Oryza sativa Japonica Group: one gene and its partner. The protein of the gene in region 1 interacts with the protein of each later gene in a biochemical or structural test. Links are inferred from orthologs where the notes say so. Each region holds a gene or a part of one and is shown in the gene's direction. Other genes may lie near its edges. The genes, in order: protein GRIP and ADP-ribosylation factor 3.

Region 1 (15,787 bases):
CAAAGGTAGATAAATATAAATAAACCTTAAGATTGACACATACTTTTTATCATCTGTAGCACGAGAATGATTTTGTCAGAAGGTAGTCATCACTCATCTGTAGCATGAGAATGATTATGTCACAAGGTAATCATCTGTAGGAAAGAATATAACGTGAACTATCCTGTTTATACTGAATAGCTCCAGCACACCGTATGGGAAATTATGTCGATAGTCCAAAAAGGTGGAAGATCTTTGATGCCACACCTTAATGTTTGCTATTATTAATAGTACCTGTCAAAATAACCAAACAAATAGTAGTAAGTACTAAAGGCTGCACTTCTAATAGATGAGGCTAATGTCCAATTGTTTAAAATACCATGGCATAGAGGTAGACAGTTGAAATTTCATTACACTTGGCGTGCTAGCATTTTCATGAACTATAGGAGAATGGTTTTTATTTGTTTTTGCGAAACAGCCTCACATGGAAATGAAAAGAAAGAAAAAGAAAATGAAGAAATACACCCCCCTGAAACAACCCCTTTTCGCTTATGTGTGATTTACTGAATTCTCATTGTTTATCTAATCATGTTAGATTGTAATGCTATAGCTAGTGCAATTTCAGGAATTAATCTATGCAAATCCAGTATAGCTTAGCTGTCCTTTATGCAGGACAATCTGCAGAATGTAAAGAATAAATATTTGGAACTACTTGTGTGATGTGGATGTGTATTGATTGTCTCTCTGGTTAATACTTACAGAGTTCAACCTCATTTTGGAACTAGGCAGCTTGGCCTGGCAGTTGAACCATCTATTTTACAATAATTTGCCTTCCAATTAAGGACTAAAGGTCTGTTTTTTCAGGATCACTTGGCTTTGATGATGGAAATCCTTGGGAAGATACCAAAAAAGGTATACATATCTTTTTGCTGGTCAAACTTTTTTTGTTAGGACCGTGGATCTGACCAGTGTAATCTTTTGCAATGAGCTCAGATTGCTACCATGGGAACAAAATCAAAGGAGTATTTTGACCGTCATGGAGATCTGAAGCGGATAAGAAGATTGAAGTTCTCATCTATTGAACGTGTCCTAGTTGACAAATACAAAATTTCTGAATCCGATGCACGGGAATTTGCCGAGTTTCTTTGCCCTTTGTTTGATTTTGCCCCAGAGAAGCGTCCAACAGCTGCACAGTGCCTACAACACAAATGGCTTCAATATAGTGATGGCAAGAACTATGGGACTCTCAACATTAGTGATGTCAAAAATGCTAGTGTTACATGCAGCCCTGGAACGACTGCCAGCAGTGATTCTAAGAGCATTGATGTAACACGCAACATTGGAGACAAGCCTGACAGTTATGCCGAGAGAGCTGATGCAAAGTGCAATACTAGCAAAAAAAGCATCATCAACAGTAATTCTGAGAATTCTAATGTACAACCCAATACTGCAAGTGTTGGCAATAGAAATTCCAAAATTGATGATGTAAATTCTAATACTGGGAGCATCACTAACAAGGATTCCAAAAACACTGTTATAAAGCCCAGTATTGGAAGCTTCGTGAACAGAAATGCTGAAACAGTTGATGTAAAACCCAACATTGGCAGCATAACCAGCAGAGGTGACAGTAGTAGTGACACCAAGAGCAACATTGGAAGCGTTGCCAGTAAAGATGCCAAAACTATTGATGCAAAACCCAGCACCAGCAGCATCACCAGCCAGGATAGTAAGATTGGTGACGGAAGGAGCAACATTGATGGCATTGCCAACAGAGATGCCAAGACCGCTGATGTGAAGCATAACATTCGAAGCGTTGTTAACACTTATTTGAGGAATTTTGATGTGAAGCACAACACTGGAAACATTGTTGATGGTGGTGTCAAGCACTCAGATTTGAAACCAGGCACTGTAAGTGCTGCCAATGTCGATTCCAAGAGTATAAGTGCAAAGCCCAGCACTGGAAGTTTTGAGAACAGTGATGCCAAGAGTATTAGTGCAAAGACCAGCACTGGAAGTTTTGACAACAGTGATGCCAGAAATATTATGAAGGCAAACACTGGAATTGTTGCTAACAATGATATCAAGGATACTGATGTACAGACTAATACCGAAAGTGTTACCAGCGGCGACGACCTAAACGACATTGATAGAAAGCCAAACATTGGACGTGTTGCTGCAAGTATACAGAGGCTGGAGAGCAGCATAGGCAAAGTGCAAAGTGGAAAATATCGGTGAGAAAAATAATCCATGCTAGTGCTGATCCAGTTACCTATTTTGATCGGCTTGGATCTGTTTTCTTTTTGTGGAGAGGCATATTCAATTTCATTAGATTTGTGTCATTGATTTGATTGCTGAGGTTAATAACTACCCTTTGTGATGGAGCCAATCTTCAAGATTTGAGGATTTGGCAAAAGCACCAGCTGATGCTTTTTACATATCTTATATGTTCCTGCTAACTGTAAAAAAGTTTTGTATTTGCACACAGAATACACATGGAGGTACATATTTCTTATTTACCTTTGTTAATGTTCACAGATTTTATTGACATTCAAGGTACATAAACATTCTTTTGGGCTTGATCAGATTGTCTTGTACGAATGGTTTTAGTTCTGTCGAGTGAAACATGGAAGAGAACCATTTAACTCAAACATCCTTCATTAAAATGATTGCTTTCCTTGTGTTAATCTCATTGGATTTCTCCCATAAAAGTTTATAATGAGGTTCAACGTTATACTCAAGATGTGCCTTTATCTACCGCTTGTAACCGCTAGGTTTTCTGGAGTTATTTATTTTTGATAAGGTTTGGGAGGAGGTTTTGATTATGCATATAAGCATGGAGTTGGTCAGTTTGATTGATGGTAAGCAGGGGCAGATCCAGGAACAAAAAAAAATTGGGGAGGCTCGATTACACAGTTTCTTCAACCTCTAACCATTTAGAGACATTTAATTTATCATTCATGGTGAAAAATCGAAGGGGGTGCTCCGGGGTATCCATGGGTCTTGTGGGTGTAGGGAGGACTCAAGTGCCCCCTGCACCCACGTTGGATCCGCCCCTGATGGTAAGTGCTAAAGAGGCCTCATGGGAATTCCTGACCGACCAATGTTTATTTCTGATTTGTACTGGCGGAAGTGATCAGACATTAATAGGTACTTTAGATCTCACATTCTTGTTTGATCATATTTCATAATCCATGTATTACTGTCTGTAATTTCTGAATTCCGAATGTCTCCACAACCCCGTGGACCATGATGCCTTAGCTCGACCTCAGCTCAGGAATTTATGTTCCATACGATTCATTTTCTCATAATAAATGAGAAAAAAAAAGAACTCGTAGCATCTTGAATCGACCTTTTAACTTGTGTATAATAATCTGTATGTTTTTCTTTAGTATACTGTGCAATTTTTCGAAGATATTGTTATTTGTGTAAGAAGATAATGTTGGTTGGAATGATTCTGAATAAAATAGTGGTCACGGAAAATAGTAGCAGTGTAAAATTTATTGTGTGCCTGTTAATTTAAGGCTTTTATCCCTGTTCTCCGCAAGGGGTATAAGGACCCGATTTTGAGACCTGTTTGATTCTTTTCAATTTTTTTTAAAAGAATGAATTTTTCCCCTTAACTCGAATCCACTGCACCGACTGATAAATTTCCATGGATATTATGTGGCGGTAAAACATCTTCATAAATCGATCAAATATTGACTATGGCAATTCTGTCTCCGATCTTTCAAGGTCGCTCAACACAACAGCTTGGGTAGAAAAATTCTCAAAAAAAAAAAAAAAACAGCTTGGATAGAAAAAAAAAACTTGCACATAGGTTAGATATCCCAATCGAGCATGGGCTCGGGAGTGGCACTGCTGGATCTAGCACAAGCTCCATGGATAAGAGAGAGCGTGGCTAGCCCAAAGAAGATAAATGAGTATGGAGTTGTGCGTCGGTGAGTTGGCACTGTCCAAAGAAACTTTGTAATGCAAACTGAACTCCTTTCGATCAAGAAATGATAACCTACTCCTTCCGTATTTTAATGTATGACGCCATTAACTTTCTGACCAACGTTTGACCATTTATTTTATTCAATTTTTGTGTACAAATATAAAAATATTTATGCCATGTTTAAAGAACATTTGATGACGAATCAAGCCACAATAAAATAAATAATAATTATATATTTTTTTTAATAAGACGAATGGTCAAACGTTGGACAAAAAGTCAACGACGTCATACATTAAAATATGGAGGTAGTAGTAAATAAATGTGACACATTCTAATACAATAAATTTAATAATTCTAATATAAAGTTATTTTTTATTTAACAAAGTGAGCGGTGAAGAGTAGAGGACGACGACTGTAGTAGCCATCGAACGAGGTCAACCGTTTCCACCAATTTTACCCGCAAGTTTTAAAAGCAAAACTGACCTCGGGATTCACCCGGATCCCCCCTCGATCCGACGCTTGGCTTGTACTGTACTACTACTGTACTCCTCTGTTCCACTGCCATGTGGTCCCCGGTCCCACCCGTCAGCCACAGCCTTCCTTACCCGAAAGCGAGAATCGCTTCCTTGTCCGCCTGTGCTGCTGTGTGTCGTCCCCCCTCCTTCCCTTCCTCGCCCGCCCACCGACGGCCGACGGCCGACGGCGAACCCGCTCCTCCGCCTCCGCCGCTGCCTGAGCCAGCCAGCCATTGGAGTGGAGGATCCGGCCTCTGCTCCCCTCGCAAACCCCCGCCACTCCTCACCCGCACCCGATCCGATCCAACCCCGCATCCCCCGATCCCTCCCACGGGACCAAGATTCGGATCCGCCTCGCCGTGATGGATCCCGACGAGAACCCCACGCCGCCGCCGCCATACCAGGAAGCGGAGGCTGCGGTGCCGGTCGACGAGCAGCCTCCGCCCCCCGTAGAGGAAGAGCAGGCGGAGGCGGCACGCCAGGAGTCAGCTGCGCCGGTTGAACAAGATGCGGCGGCGGCAGAGGGAGGAGGAGGCGATCGCGCCGCGGGCGGGGAGCGGAGCCGCGAGGAGCTGGAGCGGGTGGTGATGGAGCTCGGCTTCCAGAACGACTACCTCAAGTCCCAGATCGCGGCCGCCGAGGGTGGGAGTGGGGCGGCGGAGTCGGAGCTCGTGAAGGGGTTGAAGGAGCAGGTGGAGAGGCTGAGGAAGGAGGTGGAGGAGCACAAGCAGACGCAGAAGGCCACCGAGGCCGCCCTCGAGCACGTCAATGTCGCCTACGCCGAGGCGGACGCCAAGGTCCAGGACCTCACCGCCAAGCTCACCCAAGGTTAGTTTCTACTGTCCCTGAGCCTCTTCACCGCGCCGGAAGTTGTCAGCCGCCGAGATTGGAATGGCGGGCATGCACCACTGTAACATCTCACTGCACTCGAGCTCAAGTAATTGGCTAACAATTTTTTTCTCGCTTCTATTTAGCTACTTGGTAGTTAAAATTCTGTATGGCAGGTAATTTGGATAATCTAATTTACTAATATTTGATAGTCTAATTGGTATGAAACTTGTTTGTTGGCCCATTTGGTCAGTTAACCTGTACCCTCCAAAATATGACTAGGGTGATGTTGCAAACATGCACAATACAAGTACCGAACTGCCGATACGGATCACGCCGGCTGGGACTGTTGATTTTATAAAATAGCACTGAATATGGGAGGGAATCAATAGACAATTGGTGATCGCCAGGTGTTTCATACCAACCGATGCTAGTAACTGTATTCAGCACAAAAATAGGAATGAAGATGCAAAACTTTTATGTTGGAATACATCATTACTGTTACATTGAGGAAACAACTCTCCTGGTGAAATCCATGTGGATGAGAAGAGGGAAAAGAAAGACAGAGGAGTGGGGGTTAGCAGTTATTACCTGTAGATTTCTTTTGAGTCAATTGTAAGGTGGGTGCAACTCGGTACAAAATCTTGCAAATTGAGCAAGCCTGTTAACAAGTTGCATGGCGCGTGCGAACCAAAACCAAAATAGCTCATGTGGCTAATCAGATAATTTTTATGTTGGCTAATAAATCATTTTCATGCTGATTACGTCTCCATGTACGCTAGCAGGTAGTAATCGAGATCTCGGATTTTAGCAATAAACTGTTCCCTGCATAATGCTGCCTCTTTCAAACTGATTTTTAAGCAGACCTCTCTTTAAACTCTTTTGTGGCACAAACAACCAACATGTGCATGCTTTATGGTGACATTAAAATCACACACCATATTGAAGTTGCTTAATCACAAACGGGTTCAACTCGTTTGGTCCCGAGGAATTATCGATCAGAATAAAGAGTGAGAATTGATTTATCTAGGTAGGGGGATAATGACTGATCATACATGGTGGTGCAAGGGTGAGAATTCGTCCTAGCCAAAGAGAGGTTAATGAATTTGTCTCACAAAGAGCAGATGAATCTTATAGCTAGGCATGTACGCACCACTCAAATTTTGCATACCTCAAATGATGATCCAAAACTTAAATACTAAAATTTCACATAAATTACACATGTAACTTTGTTTTTTTTTTGGCTTCAAGCTAGCCATTAAAGGGCAAAATCATCCATGCTTGCTGATGGGACAGCCCAATGAGTGCAAAAATGATCTGTGTAACCACTGTGCACCATTTTGGTCTTGGTCCACATGCACCATGGAAGTTGTTACACTATTTGTTTGTTCTGCAAGTTGTTGCACTAAGTTGCACCCACCTCACAGGTTTATGTACCCACCTCACAGGTTTATGTACTGTGAGTGTAATTTACTCATTTCTTTTTATATGGAGACATTTGATAGGTGATCTGAACCAATTTCTATCAGACTTACAGCTTAGAGCTTCTATGACTGCATAAAAAAAGCATACTCTCTGCTTTGATGTACCATTTCGTTCTCCCTCTATGATTCCAGTCCTCCCCACTAGTGGCATTGTCAGATCAAGCAACTTAAGCCTGAGGATGAATGAATATTTGTTCGACCTATCTAAAGTGTCAGACTCAGCATTTGATCGCATGGAGAGCAGACATGTACAAATATTCCGACACACCATGCTGAAGTTTCCTGTATAATATCGAACTGAGTCCAATAATTTTTGTAAAACACAGTTTCTTAACTGTTTTTTGCTCAGTTGTTTGATAACCCAATATTTTCTGATTTGTCCTTTCCAGGCAGTAATAAGTATATGGGGTCTTTATAGTTATTGGCAGTGACACAAAGTGTTTGGGTCTCGCTTCATAACCTTCATTTTGGATATTTTAAAGATATCAATATTATTATTTTTGGATGATTGTGCTCATTATAATGATTACAATGACATCGATGAATCTTTGTTAAGCCATTCAGTTAACAAGTTTTGGAAAATGGTAGTAATGAAAGGGAACTGAATGTTTCCAAGTAAATCACATGCTGACATTTATGTGTGTAAGAAAAGAGGGACTACCCTTGGAAAAAGGGTAAAGTTCACCAAGTCCTCAGAACTTGCACTATTTGCAAGTCAGAATCCATGAAAAAACTACCATTTTCTAGTTCTTTTTTTATGCTGGCACCCCATCTAGATCTGCAGATTCTTAGTGGTATTGTACAGATTACTGTAATTGCAGATAGGATCACAGGCTTACGTGTGATTCCTCAATAGGAAAAACTAGTGCAAACCATTTATCACCATCATTTCTGAAAAAAAAGCTCTAAAGTTGCTGCAGTTTAGTTTGATCAGGATACACCTTATATTATGATGCAAACTGTTCTCCTTTTGCTGCTCTGCTATGTACAACTGTACATTTGCTTTTCTATTTAGAATCTAAATCATCATTAGTTCCATGTATGTAGCTCAGCAGAAAATGGATAAAGAACTAAAAGAAAGAGATGAAAAATATGTTGAGCTGGATACCAAGTTCCAGAGGCTTCACAAGCGTGCTAAACAACGCATACAGGATATACAGAAGGTGACCAACTTGAGCTCTCCTTGTACATTAATTTTGGTGTGGGATTAGTTGATCGATCACTTAGCAGTCTTGATTTTCTTTCATTAGTGTGGAAGTCAATGAAGAATTTTGGGTTCTTACTATTCTATTCAACAAGCGATATGATGTAACTGTGTAAATGACTTGTTCCTACCTCTTGCCTGTAGAATGGTACAAATCATTATATGCTGTACACCAACATTTTACATTTCAATGCAATCCAAATATAAATCCTTTGAAGTCAGTGACAGTTGATTTTAATATCTATCCTGACACACTTGTGTGATCTTTGCAGGAAAAAGATGACATGGAAGCTCGCTTTAATGAAATTAACCAGAAGGCTGAGCAGGCTTCTTCTCTGCAGTCAGCAGCACAACAGGAACTGGAACGTGCTCGTCAGCAGGCTAGTGAGGCTTTACGGTCAATGGATGCTGAAAGGCAGCAATTGCGAACGGTGAACAGCAAGTGAGTTACTGTAGTAATCACACTGTACAGTTCACTCACTATATTTTAACATGCTGCTATAAAGTTTATATTCTCTTTTCTATTCAAGATGGTTGGTACAAGTGATCCATCATGGCAACATGAATGCTGAGATGTGTTGGATTGCCTACTCCAGTTGGTCCTTTGTAGTTATAGTCTGATGTTTATATGTTGAGCACTTGTATAGGCAACTTGTGATGAAGTTTATGACCTATTTTTCTGCAATAGACATGTTAATGATATACAATTTATTCTTACTAGTGGACACAAATCATTGTGTAGGTTAAGAACTAATCTTGATGAGGCACGTGTTGCCTTGGAGGCCAGGAATAATGTCCTTGAGAAGTTGCGACAATCGATGTTTGAAAAAGAACAGGTATGTAAATGCAGGTCTTAGAGTGTTTTTATGAACTGCGATATTTTGTTTGAGAGGTATGAACTGCAGCATTGCTGGGCACAGTCTTAAACTGGAAATAAAAAACAAGAGGAAATTTCACCTAACCCCACCTATTATGGTCTAAATTGCACAAAACCACAGGGGTTTTGGCACGTGACAAATAGCCCCAGGTATTATGGTTATAAAGTTTCACAAAACCATATTATTGATCATTTTGACTTTGATCTACCACACTTTTAAGTTCTACAATCACATCTCAAATTATAGGTTCTTTATCCATCATATAAATGTTACATCCATATAAGTAAAGTTTTTTTAAAATAATTTTTGATATAGGAGTATGTTAAATTGGTTAACGGTGTGGTTTTGTGAAACTTTAGTACCATAATACCTGGGGTTATGCGCCATGTGCCAAAATCTCCATGGTTTTGTTCAACTTGGACCACAATAGTTGGGGTTTTATGAAATTTAACAAATTGTATGGACATGATAATACAAAAAAGAGAAATAGGGGTTAAAGTTGTCATATTTCAAATGCTGTAAACTGTATTAGGATGTTATCTAAATTTGAGATCATATTTGTCACATCGCTCAAAAGTCATGTTGATAGTCATGATAATAGCTAACCATTGTTTGTTTCTATTAGCTAAAATAATGTGGAAAACACATAGCTATAAATCTAAAACCTTTTCTAGTTATATAGTATAGCAATTATAACTTAAATAGACTGATCCAATGTTTGTAAAGTTGTTAGAGCAAACCCAAGCATCACTTCAATCTGCAGAAGAAAAGAGAAATGCATCAATTGCGGAGCTTACTGCTAAGCATCAGAAGGTAAAGAAAACAAATGCAGAAAAACAGTTTTCCGCACATTAATTATGTTAACTTGGCCTTTTTTCCCCTAGCAATTAGAAAGCTTGGAGGCACAGCTAACTGAGGTTTCTGCGGAGAGGACAAAAGCATCTGAAACGATCCAATCTCTTCAGGTGTGATTTGCGGCGGAAGTTTTCTTGCATATTTTTTTGATTATCACATGCCCTGTTCTGTTTGTGTCCTTGCTTGCTGTTGTGCTTTTGACTTAAGCTTTATTGTTAAAAAAGTCCATTAGCTGAAGAAGATTAATCTCATTATGACGGGAATCAGTAATGAGTTAAATGAAACATCAAACTTTTCCAGATGTTGCTTGTGGAGAAAGATTCAGAAATAGCTGAAATTGAAGCAGCTTCTACTGGGGAAGCTGCTCGAATTAGAGCTGCCATGGAGGAGCTTAAAGGCGAGCTTGCTCATCTGAAGGACCAACATGTAAGATAATTTATTTGTACAGATTCATGCTATTCGGTTAGAATGTTGAACCATGTGATAGATGCCAAAGTGATTTACATATTCAATATTTATAGTTATTGTGGTGGTTAGTATCTATGGTTACCTGATGGGTTGGATGAATGCGTAACATGTTTATATTTAGTGCATCATTACAAATGAGCAATTTTAAAATGTTTTTTTCCCTTTGACTAGCTGGATGGCATTCTTAATTATTTAAAACGAAATAATCCATATATCTCAAATAGATCTAACATGTTACACACCTGCTTGTTCTGTCCATGCAACCATGTTTCCTATTATGATATGTTGATTCAGCCTTTGACGTGTTGATTGACTTGCGTATAATTACATATTTGCATTTCATTCTGTTGATTTGGGAAGTGACTGATTTCTATAGAACTAATAATTGACATTGGCTCTTTTATTATCATCACCAGTCCATCACTTGAATATTTTGGATTTGTAGTTGAAACTTTCCTTTAAACAGCCTCTACTTCTGTTTCCCTCCTTTTTGGCACTTACTGTTGTTTGGTCACCATGTTTTATGAAGTCCTTGAGACTAAATAGATTGGTTCCAACTCGATATTTACTCAGGAAAAAGAAAGGCAAAATTGGGAAACTACTTGTGAATCGCTTAGGACAAAATTGGAAGCATCAGAAAGTGCATGCCATATATCTGTGATAGAATCTACTAAAGTTAAAAGTAAGTTTGCTTTCCAGACATTCTATTTTGACTTCAGAGATATCGCACTCATACAAATATTGGACTATTGCAGGTCAACTGGAGTTGGAGTTATCAAAGCAAAACCAATTACTACAAACCAAAGACTCTGATCTATTGGCTGCAAAAGACGAGGTATAAACTTAATGTGATTGTGAAGCCTAATTGTACATAAAACCATGTTTCAAATTATATGTCAAAGACTCATAATTCGAAGTTCATGTCAAAACTCAATTTATCCTCAATGCCATTTTGACTTAGAAGGATTGAGTATCTTTTTTTTTTGACTTCATTCTTGTAGTATATTATATGAGCTAATAGGCTGGCAGAATCCTCTCTCTGTCTCTGTCTGTCTCTTTCTCTAAGAAAAGGCTGGCATAATTTATTCTAGGCCTGAGTAGCAATTTTTATAAGGTGACCAAGCTACCAGTTATTGCCACTATTGAGTGAAATTGCTTTGTCATAATAGTGGCAATGTTATTGTGTACATGCACATCTTTGTTATTTGAAATGCTTTTACTCGAGGAGTTTATACTGTTAGTTTGTGTGCTGGCGAGAATACAGTGGCAGCACTATACAATTAACTGAGAATTCCTTTGAAATCTTTTAATATATGCCACTGTATTAGGAGGTGCCCTAACAGCTGATTCGACAGCATGTATAGTCGAATTGTTGAAATGCATGTCGACATGCTTTCGGTTGCAACTCCAATTTAGCCTTTTGAACTTTGCAGATTAGTCGGCTGGAAAGCGAGTTTTCTGCATATAAGGTCCGCGCACATGCACTTCTGCAAAAGAAGGATGCTGAGCTGAACACAGCTAAAAACTCAGATTTGATTAAAGCACATGAAGAAGCAATAAGGGTATTACATTATATTTTAAGATATATACTATAACCAGAGATTTGAACTGGCTTGATTGATTTTGCTTTGCTCCAGGAAGCTGAAAAGGAAATTTCAGCTGCCTTGGCAGAAAGAGATAAAGCCATCCATGACCTTCAAATTGCTCAATCCAAATATGGTGAAGAGATTGAAGCAAGGTAAAATTGGTTTCACATTGTAGCCAGATATTGTTGTGTGTTCTTTTGATCTGTTCATGACATGGAGCTCCAAAATTAAAATGATGTTCTACACTTGTAGATTGTAAAATATGCTATGAACACTGTAGGAAGGTCTTTAAATATACTTCCTGGTACTTGTAGCCATATATTCGTAACTTGTCATTTAGACACGAACTGGTTGCAATAGCCTGGTAGCAATATGCAATGTAGCAATATTGCCATGTTATTATATTTGTACCCTGGTGGTTGCTATTAACATTATATTCCTGTAAGCTGATTAGCTGATGCACTATATTACTATAAATCTTTTTCTTGCAAGTTTCATTTTGTACTTTATTTTCTTCTCAGGGATTTGGCTCTCGCTGATTCTGACAAAAAGTTAAAGAATGTCATGGCAAAATTGGATTCTCTTACTTCTAAATTCCTTTCCGAAAAAGAATCATGGGAGAAAAACGTGGCAAGTGTAGAGGAAAGCTGGAGATGTAAGATGTCCATGATTTACTTAGAATCCCCCCCTCCCTCTCTCTCTCACAAAAAGGTGTGGTATCTGATGGTAAAATTTGTCAATCGGATGATGCAGTGAAATGTGAGTCTGTGAAGGCTGAGAGCAATGGGCATGCTGGAGATGAACTTAAGAAGAATTTAGTGGAGTTGACAGTAAAACATGAGAAACTAAAGGTTCCCCTGTGACATGGGTCATTTTTATCTCCATACCAGTCTAATGTCTGACACAGTATTTTAATATATGATTGCCTTCTTAGGAAGAGCATGATTCTTTCCGTGATATTGCTGATAGAATGCTTGAAGAGAAGGACCGGGAGGTGGCTAAGCTCCTCAGGGAAAACAAGGATCTACATAACTCTTTAGAGGCTAAAGCGGCAGTAAGTCATTTTCTGATTACTATCTTGGTTTCCTGTATGGAAGTAATAAAACACATTGATTGCTGTTCACTGATTAAATGCCAGCTGTGTCTTTTGTGAGATATTTATATTTATTCATCTCGCTTATATATTTTAAAATTCATATCTAATCACTAACAAGTAATGGCTCGTAACATGCCATTTGTGAAGCCGATACCAATATTACAAGGAAATTCCATTGATATCCTCCAATCCAATCTTCTACCATATATAAATTAACATATGTTCTTTTGATGCCATGACCATCTCCTGACATTCTCTGGGAACACATTATGTGCACAGTACAGTTTCCACTCTGCATCAGTTCTGTCAAACAAATGTCTAAATCCTACTCTATTCCTTTTTAATTTTTTGGTTGTAGTTTGGGGTAGATTTGGTGAGTGAAGAGATCAGTAGCAAAAAAGGCCGCAAAAATGAGTTTTTGTGAAAAGAGAAAGTCAGCAGTAAATTTTGTGCAAGTGTGCAACTTCTGTGTTATTTTCGCCACTAACAATTATAGTCACCCCTTCTTTCTGTGGTACCATGTCCTGCCACTCGCTACAATATGCAATGTCCTGTGTCCAGTCACTTGAAGCTTCTGCTGGCTGTTTCCTCACATAGTCACATCCTAGAGAGCATACTACAACTCGCAACTGCTGCATGCTGTCAATGAATGCATTTGCAATCATCACATGCATGTTTCTTTTTGTCTGTACTGCATGAATGTGTAAGTAAATGATGACTGAATAGGAGGAACATTTTATTTTTCTGGTGTATCCTTTTGTGACTAATAACAACTACAGGCTATGTGAGGAAATAAGTAATATTTTACTCTTTCCTGGGGATATATCATTTGGAGTGGTACAGCTATGCAGCTAGAAGTAGTCGAGTATCTGAAAACCCATGGCATGCAAGTAACTAGCAATTTGAATGATGACCAAAATACCCAGAATATACATTCACCATGGTGTTGGAGAATTGTTTCTTTGACACTTTACATTTTCATACTCCCTCCCTCCCATAGCATAAGGCGCACACACATTTTAAGATTCAACTTTTAAAACATTTTATTTTATTTGCTAAAAATAATATCATCGGATTGACGTTGAATTTACTTTCGTATGGTTATAATCTTGTTGCTAAAAATCTTATAGTATATGAGAAACTATAAGTCAAAGATTAGTTTTGGAGATCGTGTCGAGTTTGACCGTGCCTTATATTATGGGATAGAGGCAGTAAATGATAAATAGTAAGCAAAATTTGGTTTTGAGATTTCGTTAATAAGATTATTTCACTTGTCACAGGTTAGCATCAATGGTAATCAAAATCCAGGTAAATGGTTGTCAGTTTCTTTTGCATTTTGTTATCTTTCCTATCCTATATTCTTCCCTCAGTTTAATGGTTACTTTGGAATTTGTTGACATGTACTTGTTTTTGCAGGACCTGCTAAACAGGATGCAATGGACATTGAACTGGCTGAGCAGCAAATTCTGGTAATATTGAGTTTGAAACAATGTTGGGCATGCCTTTAAATGTTAAGACAAATTCATGGATATTGTAATCATCATTCCAGTCATTGGTAAATTGGTTGCATGAATTGAATTAAAGTTCTACTGTACTTTGCACTCTTCGTAGCATCACTTGCCTACTTGCCACTTAATTTTGCCAAGGTTATGTTGCGATTTATTATAATGAATCATAATTTCCAATTAGCCAATTAAACCAGAATATTTTCGACCTATCAATATTGTTGAAGTAAATAAAAATGGATGGGGGCTTCTCAAGATTCTCAATTTAAAATGTGATATCCACATTTTCAGCTCCTTGCACGGCAACAGGCACAAAGAGAAGAGGAATTGGCTCAATCACAGAGGCATATATTAGCACTTCAAGTCAGTTTTGAGCTTAGCAATCATTCTTTTGTTTGTTCATTCTGTTATTAAAGTACTAATGATATTCCATTTCTTTCCTTTCTGTAGCAAGAAATTGAGGAGCTTGAGCGTGAGAACCGCCTTCATGATCAACAGGTTCGAGTTTCTTGCACCTATCTGTAGTTTCATATCCAAGATTAATGGTTAAATGTCCTTATTTATTTGAGTAATACAAAAATGTCTTGTGAATTTTCTACTCAAGGAATACTTAGCTTAAATTATGCAAAAAAGTGTACCAAAGTCTTTAATTAGGTTTTTGTGGTCAATGAATGCTAACCAGGATTAAAATTTGCAAGATGTGCACAAAATATCTTCATTTGAAGAAATGGAGCATAGATTATGCATTTTTAAGTAATAAATTTCTGTTTCAGGAAGCAATGTTGAAGACTGAGCTCCGCAATATGGAGAGATCACAAAAACGAGAAGGAATAGATATGACATATCTAAAAAATGTTATCCTAAAGCTTCTGGAAACAGGTTAATGACACTATTGTCTTTGACTACAGTAAGTTGACTGTTGATCTAAAACATTATTTGGTTTATGCTATCACAGGGGAAGTGGGAGCATTGCTGCCTGTGGTTGCAACATTACTGCAATTTAGCCCCGAAGAGGTAAATGCTCACTTGCTCAGTATAAAACTGATTTCCATTGTAGATGATTGCATTCTTTCTTAGCATCTGATTGGTTATTTTTAAATGGTGAAACACTTTCTCTAAACTATCTTAAAACCTCAGCTTTGTACAATGACATGTTGAACCATGTTAGCTAACAATGGTAGAAAGGGAAAATTAGGACGGTAATATTGGAAAACTTGAAACTCGAGAAACATAAACACCAAAGAAACATAAAAAAAGCTAAACGATATGGAAAGCGACACTCCAAGGATATATTCCACACCAAATTCCAAAGAAAGAAAAACACAATTACCCCATTTCACTCCCAATTTGAGGCATTATAAAGTTGCCATCACCCCTGTACCCATGGGCTACAGTTTCCTCTCCTCCCCCATACCCCCACTATGTCACTTCAAAGCAACCGATTGGTATCCTATG
Region 2 (16,246 bases), on another chromosome or scaffold:
ACAACTAGTTATTCCTAGCATTTGTTTCCATGACATCCTATAATACGACAAGACTAAAACTGTTCCAAACAATACCAAATTTCTAGTTGACACTCCATGTCATCCCACTCCGCTCCAAATAAACTTGACTAATCCACATCACTCCATACCACAGTTGATCCAAAACCATTTCAAACTCTCCCATAATTTTCAACTCCGTTTCGCGGCCATTTGCACAACGAGAGACAAATCAAGATCTACCAATTCCGACAATGCAAAACCAACATGTACCCAGAAGGCACAGAATGAGCATTTCCTCACCTGTTCACTATCGACAACTCACAAAACCACTCCAATTTCATCCCAATACTTCGAAATTTGCCGCTCCAACCAAAGGTTCAGTCACTACATCACTCAACGCACTGAACCCAGGAACTCACCTTCCAGGGTCTCGCCCTTGGCGGCGGAGGAGAACTCGCGGGCGTTCTCGGTGGTGAGCACCTCCCCGCCGAGCCGCCGCATGGCGGCCTCGAAGGAGAGGCGCGTGCGCGTGGACGGCTCATAGAAGAGCGTGGCCATGAGGTACCCCTCGAGGACGCGGCTCCTCCCGGCGCCGCGGGAGGAGGACCCGCGCTCCAGGGCCTCCATCTCCCGCGCCACCTCGAAGATCTCCGTCAGCGCGTCCCGGTCGAACTGCTGCGCCTCGATCACGTCCCCGAGCCGCAGCGACGCCGCGACCCCCGCCGCCGCCGAGCCGGCGCCGCATGCCACCGCGCCGCGGCGAGCGGGGAGGGAGGGGAAGGGCCTGAGCTGGGGCCTCGGCGAGGGGGCGGGGACACGCGGGAGCGGGAGGGTGGCGCGGGCGGCCGCCATGGATGGGGGAGGAGGAGGAGAAGTGAGCTTACTGTGCGGAGCGGCGGGAGCTAGGGTTTAAGGGGGTTTAAGGAGGAGGATTTTTTCTATTGTTAATTTTGGATTTTCGTGTGTTTTTTCGTCGGATGTTTGATCGGTTTGGACTTGGTTGTTGGACCTCCCTAGACTTGTTTTAGTAGTATATTCTTGTGTTTTTTTTTCTTTTCTTGTTCTTTTTCTTGTGATAGAAACAGTGACCAGTGAAGGTGATGGGGAATATTTTTCTTAGTAGGGAATATTGCAAATGGTTAGCAAGAAAATTGTCGTAGTCTGAAATTGATGCTGGCTCGAAGAGAATACTCTAGTTTTGTGTCCTGAGGAAACGACCTTGATGTTACAGAGGGGGTGAACAGGCATCTAAAACTTTTAAGAAAATGCGGAAGCTGAACGTTTTGGATACTTCCTAGTATTTTCAGATATTTCTAAAATATTTTTGGATATTTTAGAAAAACTCATATTTACAAGCAAACTAGCAAGTCAAGCAAAAAGGGGTTCGGCATAATTAGGGAAAGAATTGCACAAATAGCAACTAAACTATTAGCAACACCAAATAGCAAAACTAGATGAGTGAGAGAGATATCATCGGGATTCTTATGAGATAATGTGTTCCTAAAGTTCAAATCCTTGAGGGGATTCTACTCTCCGTCGGGTCTTTTCCAACCCTATCCTTGTGAGATTGCACAAATACACTCCTTCCACTAAGGGTATCTCTTCCCTTTTAGAGGTGAGATCTGACCTTCACATACTCCCTCAGCACACCACGAACAAATCGGTGTCTCGAGGTTGACTCCTAGCCGTTTGGACACTTGTTTGGCTTTCTAAGGGTGAAGAGGGGTCCAAAAGTCTCTAAATGAGTCCATAGCACCACCCATTTATAGCCCCAACTCCTTCAACTAGTTGTTTATTACCGTTGATAGAGTCTGCCAAAATTTGTATAGGATCCAGATTGTCCAACACTTTATGCTTTTCCAACATTCATTGAACTACAAGCCATTGGGCCATAAAGAGGTGGACGATCCGATAGCTGTAGGATTGTTCAACATTGCTTCTCCCAAACACTCCGGTATAGTACCATATTGTCTACTCCACTGCTTCTTCAACATCTGATGAACAATCATCTAGCCACGTCCAGAGCGTGTTAGATAGTCCGGTACCGCATCGGACTGTTCGACCATGATTATCCGAAAGTTCCCAAACAATCTAGTTCACTTAGTTTCTCGTGATCATCTTCACTAGATTTTTCCGACTCCACCTAGATTGTCCGGTCCATGTTAGACCCGAATTTTCCTATACCGCACATGATTGTCCAATCCATTATAACTTTGGGGCAAATTGATCTTCTATCTTCCAAACTTTGCCCAATTAACTTTCGCTTCAACTCATTTGCTTTGAGTGTTGTTTTGGCTCACTTTTCCACTTCAAAGGACTTAATGCCTCCGTATCACTCATTAAAGACATTATTACATTATTCATTTGTCATTAATTAGCCAAAATTTAGCTAGGGGGTCTAGATGCACTTTCAAACAATCTATTTGTTGACTCAGGAATTCCATATACCTAATTATGTTATTTGTTATATCTTTTTTATGCACACAAGAAGATATTTGGTTGCATCGGTTAGATTATATGCCATTTGGCAAAAAGAACAACTCTAAAAATAGTCTTATAAATGGATTGTGGTGCGTCACTTAGGGCAAGCCATACTAAGTACCACGATGAGCTACAATGAGAGACAATAACTAGCACACAATTAAAAAAATTCCTTTATTCATTAGATAGTTAAGTATTGAGCTTTTTGTGATATCCATTAAATAATTTAACTTCTAAATATATAATAAGATATTGAATGGTAAAGAAACAAAAAAAATAACATATTAGTTTGATAGTGAAAATGGTTAAGATCTTATTAATTTTGGTTACAAATGTGTCAAAATACTAATGATCACCGAAAATTACCTTCATTTTCCGAACCGTTTATTACTGATTAAAATTAATTTATAAGTAAAACTTTTATAGACATATCCTTAGTGATTCAAAAGCAAATGTTGTAAGATAAACTACGTTAAAAAACCAACATAATCAATAACTACAAAATTACTACTACTCCATCCGTCCAAAAATAAATCAACTTAATTTGAATTTGTCCTAAAATAAATCAACAGTTACCTTCTTATCTACCATCGGTCCGCAAATCAAAAAATTTTATTCCATCAATACCCCTCAACTACCTATTCACCACCAATGTAACTTTTCTACCATCGGTCCGCAAATCAAAAAATTTTATTCCATCAATACCCCTCAACTACCTATTCACCACCAATGTAACTTTTCTATTAATTAGAGACATTTTGGCTCATTATCTTCTTCCTTAATTCCAATTGGCAACCTAAGGTTTAATTTATTTGTGGGGACAAAGAGGGTATATTTTATATTATAAGTCATATTGATTTTAAGTCAAACTTCTTTACGTTTGACTAGATTCATAGAAAAATATAATAATATTTTTAACACAAAAAACTATCAAAATATATTCAATGTTAGATGTAATGAAACTAATTTAGTGCCTCTTTTTAATTGAAATATAAGTATGTTTGATTTTAATTTGTTGGGTAGAAGATTAGGAAAAGAGAAGGAATACAAGTTCTAATGCTAATGGAATTACTGTTGGCAAACCGTTAAAATGCACATGACACCTTTAGACTTATTTCTTAGTTTCCTTTTTCGAAGCTGTCTCTGTATCTTTCTCCGAGGCTTTCTGCATTTGTATGACAATAGGAATCGTGAGCTTAAGCACTGATATAGAAAACAAAGTATTAAACTATAGTGCAGTTCAACATATATGATTTAACATGAAATACATTATCAGTCTTGACGGGGAAAACATGCCGTAGAAGGCCATAAACTTGTTATTTCAATAACACATATTACAGCACTAGACCAAATGTTACTTGGCATGCATCTATTTATATACTGACTATATATTTGAATATTTGATGACTACAGATAAGGCTAAACCATAAATATAACTATATAAGCATGGTGGGTGAGATGACATTTTGTCAACGGTCATTCTGGTCACATGAGGTCAAAAGTTAGTAAATAGGATCAATTTCGACAATGAGGTCAAAAGTTAGTACAATAGGATCAATTTCGACAAGTAAAATATCTGCACAAGCACTCCATTAAAGATGCACATGCTAGATTTGATCATCTGTATGGCCTACACAACAAAAATCAAAACATGAGAAGAGTTTTATTCTCTTCTCTCTTTACTATAAAGAAAATACACAGCTCTCCTCCTGTATGTTTGAGAAAAAAACTAGAAAATAATGGTTGAACTGAACATTACAACCAAAAAAATACTCATACATTGGTCACCCGATGTTCACTTAAACCATTTTCTTTTAGCAGGAGCAAAATAAGTCTCTGGAAAACGGCCAGAATCAATTGGATACATTCACGATGGATGGATGTGGTTTAATGGCAAGTAAGCAAGGTCCGATCTGTAGGTGTACCGCTTTATCATGTTTAGTCCATTGCAGTTGCCGCACAGGAACATGGAAATTAACATTAGGTTTCTTGAATAGGCGTCGAGCTTCATCAGGACATTACTAACTGCTGCATACATGCATCGCAAATCAAGTAGCATTGAATATCAGACTGACGAATATACGAAATGTCATTAGAAAAAGAAAAAAAGAAATTTGAAATTGGCTAATAAACGCAAAAAGTTCAAAGCTGATAAATTCAGCTAACAGTATAGTGCCTTGATGGTAAGGCATGACCAACAAATAGATGGAGGTTTTGGGATATGGTTGGATATTAACATGTAGAGATAATCCCTTATATGCCACTAAGAATTGTCTGATCCTTTATATGCCAGTGAAAATCGGTTCTTCCCCTACATGCCATCGGTCCAAATTTGTGCACCCTCTCATGCCACTCCCGTCTATTGACTCCGCCTATTGATTGTGTGTTGACCGTTAACTATAAAGTAAAAAAGACGTATTTGCCCCTTTGAGTTGTTAGGCATGTACTATAGTTTTCCTTCTTTTCAATAGGAGGCAAACCTAATTAGCATGGCGATACGACTGACCACAGGTTTGAAGGATGACATTAGTCAAGGCAAATGACTCAAATGGAGGATGCCATATTGTTGAAGCACATTTCCCTATCATTTTCCTTTTATTGACTATTTGTAAATCATCTAAAGTTTGTATTTTATCTATGTACACTGATTGTTCCTCTGCTCAATCTCAACATAATTACATGCCATTTTACTTATACCTGCTGGGTACCCCACCATGTTGTTGGCCAACAAAAAAAGCATGGTTTTTTGGTGAATCAATTATTGTAACAAAATTCCTCTTGCCTCGTTTGGTAGGGTTCCAAACTCCAACTCTCAACTCTAACCTTCAACTTCAGTGAGAACTGGTTCCTATATGAGCTGAGGTGGGTATGAAAGTGTTTGGCTAGATTGTGTCACCACGTCCCTTGTTGGCATTGTCCTGCCGTAGTCGCCGCTCCACCCACGTGCCACCGCACGCGTGTCGCCTTGCCGATGCTGACCCTGCGCCGCCACCCACGCGCCTCTTGCCGCCGCTGCCATCGCTTGTGGCCTTGCTGCTCTCATGCGCCACGCCACCCGCCCCCACCGACGCCTGCCGCCGCCGTCAAGGGAGGAAGATGTGGATGAGAGAGAAAGGGAGGAGAGGGGGTGTGAAGGGGTAGTTCAGTGGCATATCGCATAAATACATGAAAAAATTAAAGGGTAGTGGGTCATTAGGGACGAAATGGAGCTGTGAAGTAGAAAAACCCAGTTCTACCCCGTAGTACAATTTTGGGGAGTAACTCTGCAAACTCCGCTAAAAAAATGAAGAATTTGTACCGTGTGGCACAACTCCAGCTCTAGGGAAGTTGGAGTTAGGAGCTAGAGCTGTGCCAAACGGAACCTGAATATTATACAATGATGAATAGAAACTATTTGAATTTGGATTTGAAAGACATATACTTGTAAAATCCAGATTTCTGTTTTAACTTGCTTGGCATATACTACCTGAATTAAGCGAGTATAAACGTGTCCTTGCAACGTTTCTCAATTCAGTGAGCATGAAAGAAAATGTGCCTAGTATATGCATGATTACTAGTATTCTACAATGGATGGAGTATTTATTCCATATCCTAAAATTTTCCATTTACATTTTGATCTTCAACTAACCTGAACTTAAAACCAACCCAGAGAAACCATGTCTTTTTCTTAGGTAAAATAGAGGATGGAATTGTTAAAAAACCGTCACAAGTTATTTTTGCAAAAAACTTTCAAATGTAGTTATAGTATAGTTATAGTGTAACTACAATATAGTTACAATGTACTGTACTGTAATCTCTATATAAGTTAGATATAAAGTTATATATATTATTTTAATATTTATATACATAGTTGTAGTGGAATTACATTACAATTATATTATAGTTAGATTTGAAAGTTTTTCATAAAAAAATCTTACAGTAGTTTTTAGATAATCCCAATAAAAAAACCATACAAACCCCACATAAAAACCTTTTGTAGCTGCAATCTTTTTCTTAGGAAATAGAAAAACCATACAAACCCACCTAAAAACCTTTGCAATTGGAATCTCTCCTAAATCCACCAAACCAAACCAAACCGCTTCTCCCCTTTTCCCCTCCAAACAAAAAATCCATCCATCCACCTTCCCCATTCGGTGAGTCGTCTTCGTCGTCTTGGGTACTCGCGCGCGCCAGCTCACTCCCAGATCTCCCCCCTCCTCTCCTCCCCGTCTCAGATCTCCACCGCCGCCGCCGCCGAAACCCTAGCCCAGCCCCCCGCCTTCCGCCGCGCGCGCGGGGGTGACCTCCGCGCCGCCGCCGCCATGGGCATCGTCTTCACGCGGCTCTTCTCGTCGGTCTTCGGCAACCGCGAGGCCCGCATCCTCGTCCTCGGCCTCGACAATGCCGGCAAGACCACCATCCTATGTAAGCCCACCTCGCCCCCCGACTCCATCGAATGTAATCTCGCCGTCTCCACCTCGGATCTGATCTGGGTGCTTGTGTTTTTTTTTCCTCGCAGATCGGCTGCAGATGGGGGAGGTCGTCTCCACGATCCCAAGTGGGTTCCCCGCTCCCGATTCCCTCATTTTTTTTCTTCCATTCGGTTTGCTCCGCGGGTTTGGTGACGTGTGTGCTTGTTGTTGTTGCGTTGCTGCAGCGATTGGGTTCAACGTGGAGACGGTGCAGTACAACAACATCAAGTTCCAAGTCTGGGATCTCGGTGAGTGTGCCCCCAAGTCTCTGATTCACGAGGACTGGTTTAGATTTTTCCGCGAGACAATTTATAAGTACAATTTACGACAATATCCATGAGGCCAATTGTGGGTACTACAATTTATGATTGAGTGGACCAATGGTTGAGACCTAGCTGACTAGGGTTTGACCATTACAATTCTGATTCTGTCCTAGGTTTTGAGGGAATTTTAGTATAACGTGACCTTTTTTACTTGTATGCTGAGTTCCTGAATTGAATCAAAATGGGGTTCTGTTTATTCTATGTGGTGTTGAAGTAAATGAGTTGTTGCCTAATGGCTTTCATGGCTTGTCTGCAAAGAGTTCAAAAATGACCATTCTGAGCATCTTAAGCAATTCAGTGACCTGTTTTTTCCTATGTTTGAAGGCTGATGTGGTTATTCTTAAAATACTATCCTCTCATCTGCTTTGGCACTGATCGCCAAGCCTTAGTATAAGAAGTATTTGGTTCACTAGCATTTCACAATCCTAAGGGGAAGTTCATATGCAGTAATACACTAACACTTGGATTCTTGCACAGCAACAATAATGATGTAGAATTCCTGCGGAAGTAGAAATGAAGAAATAAAAAAAATAGTGGAAAACAATGAGGAGAACGTGCTCAAATCAGACTTTAGTCAGCATGTTCATTTGCGAAATAACAAGAGTCTTGTATGGTGGGCAAGTAAAACCATGAGTATTTTTTTATCACTGCTAAATAAAGTTTGTATTAAAAACAATAGCCATTCTACTGTACCCCCAAACCGTTAGAGCTTAGAGCTTATAGCACATTGATAACTATGGAACTCACATAGCTTTGACTAGTATTTCGATCTCCGAAACTCATATAGCTTTGACTAATATTCCAATCTCGGAAAAGTGTGGCCTGGTTTTCGAAATATGGATTCATTTGCTTAGCGTTTGATTGCACCATTTCAAAGCTAGTTGTCTCCTGTGGTTAGTAAAGAAACATATTTTTTTAATTGCCACCATCGTGTAACATTACATGTACGATTTACTGTAGCAATACCTTGTAATCACCGGAACACTGGGGAGCTACACATTGCATTCCATTTTCCATGTCATTTAATTGAAATCTGCAAGAATATTATGCTTGGAAACGCATGCTTAATTGGGCAGTTATTCACATATCAAGCATATTTACTCACATTTAATGCATTATACAGCTGTAGTGATTTAATGCTTATATAGTTTAAAACAAACATCTGAAATTGCGATGAGTTTCTGCTTCTCTATGCTAGTGAAACTTTGTTTGCCTAATATTTTTATGTTCCTTCACTTTAAAATATCCAATTTTTTTTTAACACCACTTTCTTCTCAACAGGTGGTCAAACAAGCATCAGGTACCATCTCTATGTCATCACAATCAAAGTTTTTTCTGTCAAGTCATTCATGCCTTTATATAGTAGCCATTTAATTTTTATCATCCTCGAAAAGGATCACCCATTCTGCCTTCTTACATTTAGACTACCTTTTCTTTTCAATCATGGAAGTATTGCGCGTGCAATACAATGACCTGGTTGAACCTTCTTACTTAAGTTTCTACAAGCTAATAATAGTACTCATGTATACTACTTGAAATGTTCTGATAAAATCCTAAAGCTAGAAATTTCTTAGGGTTCAAAGGGTTAAGTTGGAAATATATTTCCTCTCTAGTTTTTTGCACTGCTAGCTAGCTAGGATTTTTACTGCAATAAGGTTTTTTATAGACATAGGCTTTTACTGCAAACCCCTAATTTGATATGGTTTGATCTTGGGGAATATCATAGTTGTAAAAAATAATCCAAGCTTTTGTAAGAGTACTTTTATTGGGTGTAAATATGGCTAGTTTGTTTTTTTCCTTGGGCTTCAAATATCTAATTATTCTCCATGGAGTTTTTGCGTTTGAGAGGCAGGCAACTGGATATATATAAAATTTACTTGGTCATCCTGTTCTTCAGCCGGATATGTATAGAGAAGGGACATAGATGCTTACCACAAGAAATGGGGGCTACACATTTACCCCGGGGCTAAGACAGCTTTCTAAATACTATCGCTTATGATATTCCATATACTACAGCACTTGACCTTTCCCATAACAAACATATATAGATCTGCACAGTGGAGTACATAGGTGTCCAAATGAGCGTAATGCGACCATTCATTGAAATGAAATTGTAATTGTTTACCTTATACTTACGTGTTTAGTTCAGGATTCACAAGAATATTTAAACTTTATAGTCAACCTTCACTTATGTCTTGCTACTTCTGATTCCTTTCTGTTACTCTTTTGTATTCAAGTATGTTTCCTTTGTTAGGCATGGATTCTCTTAGATTATTTGACTTCCTTCCTTTTAAAGACTAGGCATGACACGTTTCTCTACGCCATTAACATATTCACCTTTTTAGGCCATACTGGAGATGCTACTTTCCAAATACCCAGGCTATCATTTATGTTGTCGATTCAAGTGATACAGATAGGCTTGTAACGGCAAAAGAAGAGTTTCATGCTATCCTTGAGGTATGGGCCACCTGTGCTTGAGGGACTCGGTATATATATTTACTGTGTCATATGTAACCATTACATGGAAGAAACAAATGGGATTTTGCACATATTTCTCAAAGGGTGATTATGACTGCAAGTTTAGTGAAGCATGCTGCTTGCTCATTCTTTAAAATCATTAATTGGTAATAAAAAATCCATGTATTTTTGTCAGGATTTAACGGATTGCTTACTTGTCAGGGGATTTCAGGCGCTTTGTGATTCACAGGCTATGCCTCCTTTTGCAGTTTAATTTTGATCCCAACAACTGGTCTGTTATAAATTTGATAAATCAATATCTCATGCTCGTTTGTTCATGAACACTAACAGTGTTTATGCACCACAGGAGGCCAGGATCCCTATCTAGTTTGCTATTTTCATTCTTTTTATGGTTAGAAATATTAGCAGCATTTCGTTAGCATGGTGTTACGCTTGTGTAGACATAAATCCAATATCCTAATGATTTTAAGGCTATAGCAGTACACATGAATTGATTTCATTTAGGTGCATTTGCTTATTGGCTGCTTGCCTTCAACTGGCAGGAGGATGAGCTAAAAGGTGCAGTTGTCCTTGTATATGCGAATAAACAGGTAAAACCAAACCATTCTGGGTCTCATACACTGTTGTTAATTTTGTGTGCTTAAATTGGTTTCAAACGTACTCCGGTGCTACATTTTTCTGCATGTGGTTCACTTGGATTTTGACAGCCCATGGCATCTTAAGTCCTTAAACAAAAGTTACTTCTAGCTGTTCTGAACTTGCACTATTTAAGCATTTTTTTTGGTTAATAAAATATATCGCTCTCTGTACCAAACAAACGTAGCCTATTTATTATGATTTTCCATTATGTTACTTGGACATTAGGTTTCAAATGTGAATGTCTTTTTGTCAATTGTCATTCTTTGTTGCTTGCATTTTCTATACAAATAAGTTGGAGATGCTTTATTCTATGGCAACAATGTAGACGCCCAATATGATGTCTCATGTGCTGTCATGCCTACAATGAATGCAGGATCTTCCAGGTGCACTTGATGATGCTGCCATAACGGAATCATTAGAACTCCACAAGATTAAGAGCCGTCAATGGGCGATTTTCAAAACATCTGCCATAAAAGGAGAGGGCCTTTTTGAAGGTTTGGACTGGTAAGTCACATGAAATTTTCTTTTCTCTACGGAACAAATGAAATAATGGCTAAAATGTTTATGCTGGTAAAATCCTGTACTATCCTGTTTCTTGTAGTGACGTGAGTACTGGACGGTTTGTTTTCCTGTGAATATGATTAGACTGAACTCCCATGTTACATTTTTTCCAGTTCTGTTTTACAACACATTATTCTGCAATTCCTCCCTGATGAATGCATATGGGAATATCTGATGGAATTAACTTACAAAAGCCTGGTTTGATTCTTGCTGCAGGCTCAGTAATGCACTGAAATCCAAAAGCAGCTAATTTAGGAGCCTCTGTTCCATGGATCATTGCTTGATGGTAAAGAACAGGGACACTGCTCCCTTTTCCTCACAAGTCTGCGTGAGAACCCCCATTCTCTTTGTTTTAACTCCAGAAGTTTTATACCATCGATTATCTGTAAAGTGCTTGTTAAAGTTTTCGGATACGACTTTAGATGTACCTCCATATTGAGATCAAGAATAGATTTGTAGAAAATGACGAGCAAACTGTCAGGACTCTTGGTCACTGGTGGCTTTACCCGTAAATCCCTTCTATTGTGACATTTTTTTCCGATGATTGAACACGCCTAATTTCCACCTTGTCGCCGAGTTTCATGTCGTTTTCTACATATTCTTTTACTCTGGTGATACGAATGCTTGGGAACATTATCCACTAGTCATTTCTTAATAATGTTATATTGAAATGAATGAAAGAAGTGATCTTGATTCTTGACCCTCTGTAACTAAATTAAATCTACTCTTGACCTCATCTATACATCTTTATGATCACTGTTCAATTGGTAGCAATTCTGATGACATGTAATACAACTATGAAATCATAATTCGCAGAAAGTTACCACAATAACTCAATAACATCATAAGCACAAGGGTACGGATGGTAAAGTAGTAAAGTATGATACGTCTCTACTCTTGGATAAGCACATCTTAAAACCTTACTTTTGAGTTATATGTTTTTAAAATCTTCCTTTGATATTATATGTATATTTCTCTTAAGAAAACACTACCATAAGTCCAAAACATCATGATATTTGCATTTGATTTTGGGATTCTTTTTCTCACCGTGGCTTATTTTCTAGCATTGACTCTTAAAACAACAATAATATACAGATTAATATTTATCTACGAATTACTTTTATCGTTTTGTTTATTTTTCGACGGCTTATTAGTCATACCACTAATTAATATAGCGTCTAGTAATAATTGATGTAGCGACTTTGCTGCTGGTAAACAAAAGGAGCTAGATAGACCTGGCCCAGCACAAAGCCAGCTGCGAATTGACGTCAGCAGGGACGTCATCTGATAACTTGTGCTGAACACCAGGACCAGGGCAGGCCGTTTGTTTTTTCTTGCAACGACTGTTCAACCGTCGTCGCGAATAGTCACTGTCGCCTAGTCCGTGTTTAGTTATAGACTTTTTCTTTAAACTTCTAACTTTTTTATCATATCAAAATTTTCCTACACACGTAAACTTCTAACTTTTTCATCATATCGTTCTAATTTCAACTAAACTTTCAATTTTGGTGTGAACTAAACACAGCCTTAACAACTTGGACATGGAATTAGGAGGATTAATTAATTAATTTGTTTACGGCGACATCCTGTTCCATAGAAATGTCACGGTTGCTACAATATCCCCTTAAACATCAGACACGTGTTGTGCCGACAATTCATCGCGTTTGCGGCGAACAGTTCCGATTCCGTTAGATATAGGCAAGGCCAAGTGTCCATATAATACTTGAGTCAGTAATCACATTTGCCCAAAGAAGGAGATTTGTTTTTTCAATTGCACGAAGGAGATTAAGGTTGTTAAAATATATCGATTCTGTTATATAATTTTACGATTCTAATTAAGGTGTTTGATTCTATGATTTTACCATGTAGGTAGAATTTATGATTTTTACGTACACGATTTTATGATTGTGATCTTACTTATACCTTTCGATTTAGGATCACGATTTTAACAACTTTAAAAGATATTAAAGTCGTTAAGTAAATCAGGCTGAATTCCTATGAAAAATGTTTCTGCGTTTATGTAATTATAGGTACCAGGACAGCCATAACTCCACTACATCAGAAGTGTTTCTGTATAATCTGCACAAGTTTCTTCACAAGTATTCCACTTATTTCACTACATTTCACCATCGATCATCTTTTGTGTTTTAAGATACTTGTAGTTGCAACTTGCAACTACACTAGTCAATTTTTTTTGGAAGGATTAGCATGCAGGGAATTGGATTGATTGGTTATCAACTGACTGTCAACTTTTGCAAACGCACTAGTCATGAGTTAATAACCAATTGAATTGGATGGAACACTGGCTTGACAAGAATCACTAGTTGCGGAAAAAATATCTGTAGGAAAAAAAATCTATCTGTGTATAGGATCGGGGTGAATAGGATTTTCTAAGTACAAGGCCAAATTAGAACTCAATAACAGAAGATTATATCTACCCTAAGTTCCTATGTTTGACAACCATTGTGACCCAAAATTTGCAACTGAGTTGAAGTTTTACTCAATTCTAATTCAATCTATGAAAGTAAAATGCGAGAGGTAAAGAGATTGAGATAGGAAAAGCAAACAAGATGCTGAGACTTTTTCCCAAGATATCGAAAATTGGGCAATCTCCACTAGTACTCTAATTTGGAGCACTATAAGTGAGAGTTTTACTTCCTCTCATGGCCATGAAATCTGTGAGCGCCCTTTAGCGGTAGTTCTTCTCTACTCCAGAAGATAACCCAAAACCTTCACAAAATTGCATCTCACAATTTTCTCGAGAGATCACCATGAACATTTCCGAGACCGGCTAAGACATGCCGAGATGTCAAGAATAACAAGAAGCCTTCACTCAAGCAACTTAGCACTAGACTACTTGGCAGATGCATACTAAGACATGTTTGATTTGGATTATTAATTAGATTGTTGCTATTGATTATCTACTTGATTATAGAGATAAATTAATATTTTCATAAATAAGTTTAATAAATAGCTTAAGACAACAGTTTTTGCAGTGCAGTAGAAGAATGCTTTTTCAAGAAGAAAATACATTTTTCATAGCATGAAGTAACTAATCCGATAAATAATCTGCAAGTGATGTTCACAAGTATAGGGGAGTGGATTCAGGATCGATCCTATATGAAGGGGGTACTCATCCTCTTCATCCTTTTTTCAGTCCCCCATCTTCCTCATCTTTTCCGTTTCTCCTCACCTTCTTCATGGGGATCCAACACGATAGGGAGAACTCGAGTCCCAGCGCCCATGTTGGATCCGCCCATAAGTACTCCACGTATTTTGTTATCTTACATTTCACTGTCGATCGCCTTTTGTGTTTTAAGATGCTTATAATTGCAACTGCACTAGTCGGGCATTAGTCAATTTTCTTGGGAAGGATTAGCATGCCAGGAATTGAACTGATTGGTTATCAACTGGCTGTCAACTTTTCCCAAATGCACACTAGTCATGAGCTAATTAATAATCAATTGAATTGGATGGAACACCAGCTTGACAAGAATCACTAGCTCAAGAAAAAATATCTATTGGTGTGATGGCCCACAAGAGAGCAGCTTCTACCAAGTGCTACTAGAAGACAATGGAAAGTGTCTCAGAATGTGATTGTGCATCAAGCCGAAAGATAGCAGTCGTCCTGTTTGTTTGGAGGCTACGTGGCTGGAAGGTTCTGGAACCATGAGAAGAAAAAAAAAAGAGGATAAGATGATAAGTCCAAATGAACAGAAAACCTGGGCGACTCCTAATTGAAGAAACCTTCTAGTGCTTGGATGAGCAGCCGACCGTGCCGGAAAAGGTAACCCGTTGATGATGAGTTGAGCTTGATTTGCACGCACTTATCTGCAAGGGGAAAAAAATTATTTCAGAACCTTAAGTTTTAAGGAAAGCTTGAAAACCATCCAACTTTTAAAACAGGTTTTAGCTTTGACTGAATACATCATTTGCTTTACATTTTCTCTGTTTACGTTGTTAGACCTTTTTAAGTTAAGTGACAGTTTCATCCCAAAGTAATTAATCTCTCCCTCAACGAAAATTTAAGAAAATATTGTAGAGAATGTATGTATAAGTAAGGTTTATATATGCGTGGATAGTCTCTCAGTTCATTATCATCTTTACCGAGACACTCCACATTTAGGAACTACTTGATAAAACGGCTATTTATTATAAAAATAAAAAATAACAAGAATTGTTCAAGTTGGTACCCACTCGGTTACCATAATATCGATGATCGAAATATAGACTGTTATAAGAAATTGTTTATATCAACGGTCTCCTGTATAATTTCAAACAGACCTAAAGAGAGTCCTAAGTAATATCATATTGCTGACTGGCAAGATTTATCGCTGTCGAAGTATCAATCACCTACTTTCCTGTGTGTGATCTCTTTACTAATGACCACCGCCCCCTCCCCCCCCCCCCCCCACTTGACACTGTCACCCATTCCACTTGCTGCTGCCACACATGCCTAAATTACACGCTAGCTAAAGCTAGTGAGATCTTTTTGTTCGTCTTTTTTGTGAGCCGCACAGTGAAATTTAGGACTAGATCGATCGATGATGATGTGACTGATCGAGCAGCTAATTTCAAGGTCAACGCACACGGTTCCGGAAGAAAATCTTGTTGGGCAACCAAAAAACGTGTGTGATATTTTAGCCTTGGCATAGGCACAACGCCTTACAATTATGGAAAAGAAAAAAATCTCATTGAAAAGAAAATCACTATATGTAAACTCTAATCGTGAGAATCTCACGTGCGCATGTGCATATGGAGAGGATTTGATTGTCACTCTACAAGTCTATTGGCCCCATCGGATCGCTTATTCGTGAAAAATAAGAGATCTATAATACCATAAAATACCTAACTTGAGTTATTGTTGAAATTAATAAATGTGTTAAGAATTAACTTTATAAAAAATCACAGAAACCCACCTTTATTATTACCTTACTTATTCTAAAAGAGATACATTCTCAAAAGAGAAGAGAGAGTGATCTCTTTTAGCTAATTTAGACATGTGTGGTAGAGAGAACTAGAGAAAAACATGCACTCGCCTCGCACCTCGCTTGACTCCCCTAGAATGGTGCACGTGCGTGACATATGTGTGAACGGTCTACGTGCGACGTATCCCGTTCTTCAGGATTGTCGACATGTGAACGACCTACACACAACTTATCCAGTTCGTCAGGACTGTCGACGGTGGCGGACCCTCTCTTGTGGCATGGTATGGCAGCTGCCGTAGCTATGCCACAGCCAAACTAAGTAACACATCTGAACATTTAGCCATTTAGATGATTAATTGACTATTTGGTTTGGTTGAAACTCTAT

What was found.
Region 2: the proteins of protein GRIP (region 1) and ADP-ribosylation factor 3 form a complex in vitro, tested with the Arabidopsis thaliana proteins (2 studies listed by BioGRID). The link is inferred for Oryza sativa Japonica Group from reciprocal best matches to the Arabidopsis thaliana genes ATGRIP and ARF3.

The regions. Positions count from the first base shown.
Region 1 is NC_089041.1:17,132,801-17,148,587, forward strand, and holds the start of protein GRIP, read left to right. Parts: upstream 1-4,541; 5' UTR 4,542-4,790; coding exon 4,791-5,256; intron 5,257-7,773; exon of another isoform or gene 7,774-7,777; coding exon of another isoform or gene 7,778-7,787; coding exon 7,788-7,903; intron 7,904-8,216; coding exon 8,217-8,386; intron 8,387-8,686; coding exon 8,687-8,780; intron 8,781-9,548; coding exon 9,549-9,635; intron 9,636-9,706; coding exon 9,707-9,787; intron 9,788-9,977; coding exon 9,978-10,103; intron 10,104-10,718; coding exon 10,719-10,827; intron 10,828-10,900; coding exon 10,901-10,980; intron 10,981-11,578; coding exon 11,579-11,707; intron 11,708-11,782; coding exon 11,783-11,883; intron 11,884-12,252; coding exon 12,253-12,386; intron 12,387-12,484; coding exon 12,485-12,582; intron 12,583-12,665; coding exon 12,666-12,785; intron 12,786-14,107; coding exon 14,108-14,135; intron 14,136-14,243; coding exon 14,244-14,296; intron 14,297-14,623; coding exon 14,624-14,695; intron 14,696-14,782; coding exon 14,783-14,830; intron 14,831-15,105; and 4 more. Other genes in the region: uncharacterized protein, read left to right, coding at 844-891, 973-2,214. UniProt on the Arabidopsis thaliana protein: Golgi matrix protein playing a role in tethering of vesicles to Golgi membranes and in maintaining the overall structure of the Golgi apparatus.
Region 2 is NC_089042.1:9,131,026-9,147,271, forward strand, and holds ADP-ribosylation factor 3, read left to right. Parts: upstream 1-6,596; 5' UTR 6,597-6,782; coding exon 6,783-6,885; intron 6,886-6,979; coding exon 6,980-7,018; intron 7,019-7,117; coding exon 7,118-7,180; intron 7,181-8,536; coding exon 8,537-8,555; intron 8,556-9,600; coding exon 9,601-9,712; intron 9,713-10,275; coding exon 10,276-10,323; intron 10,324-10,745; coding exon 10,746-10,876; intron 10,877-11,149; coding exon 11,150-11,183; 3' UTR 11,184-11,500; downstream 11,501-16,246. Other genes in the region: aspartate carbamoyltransferase, chloroplastic, read right to left, coding at 420-852. UniProt on the Arabidopsis thaliana protein: GTP-binding protein involved in protein trafficking; may modulate vesicle budding and uncoating within the Golgi apparatus.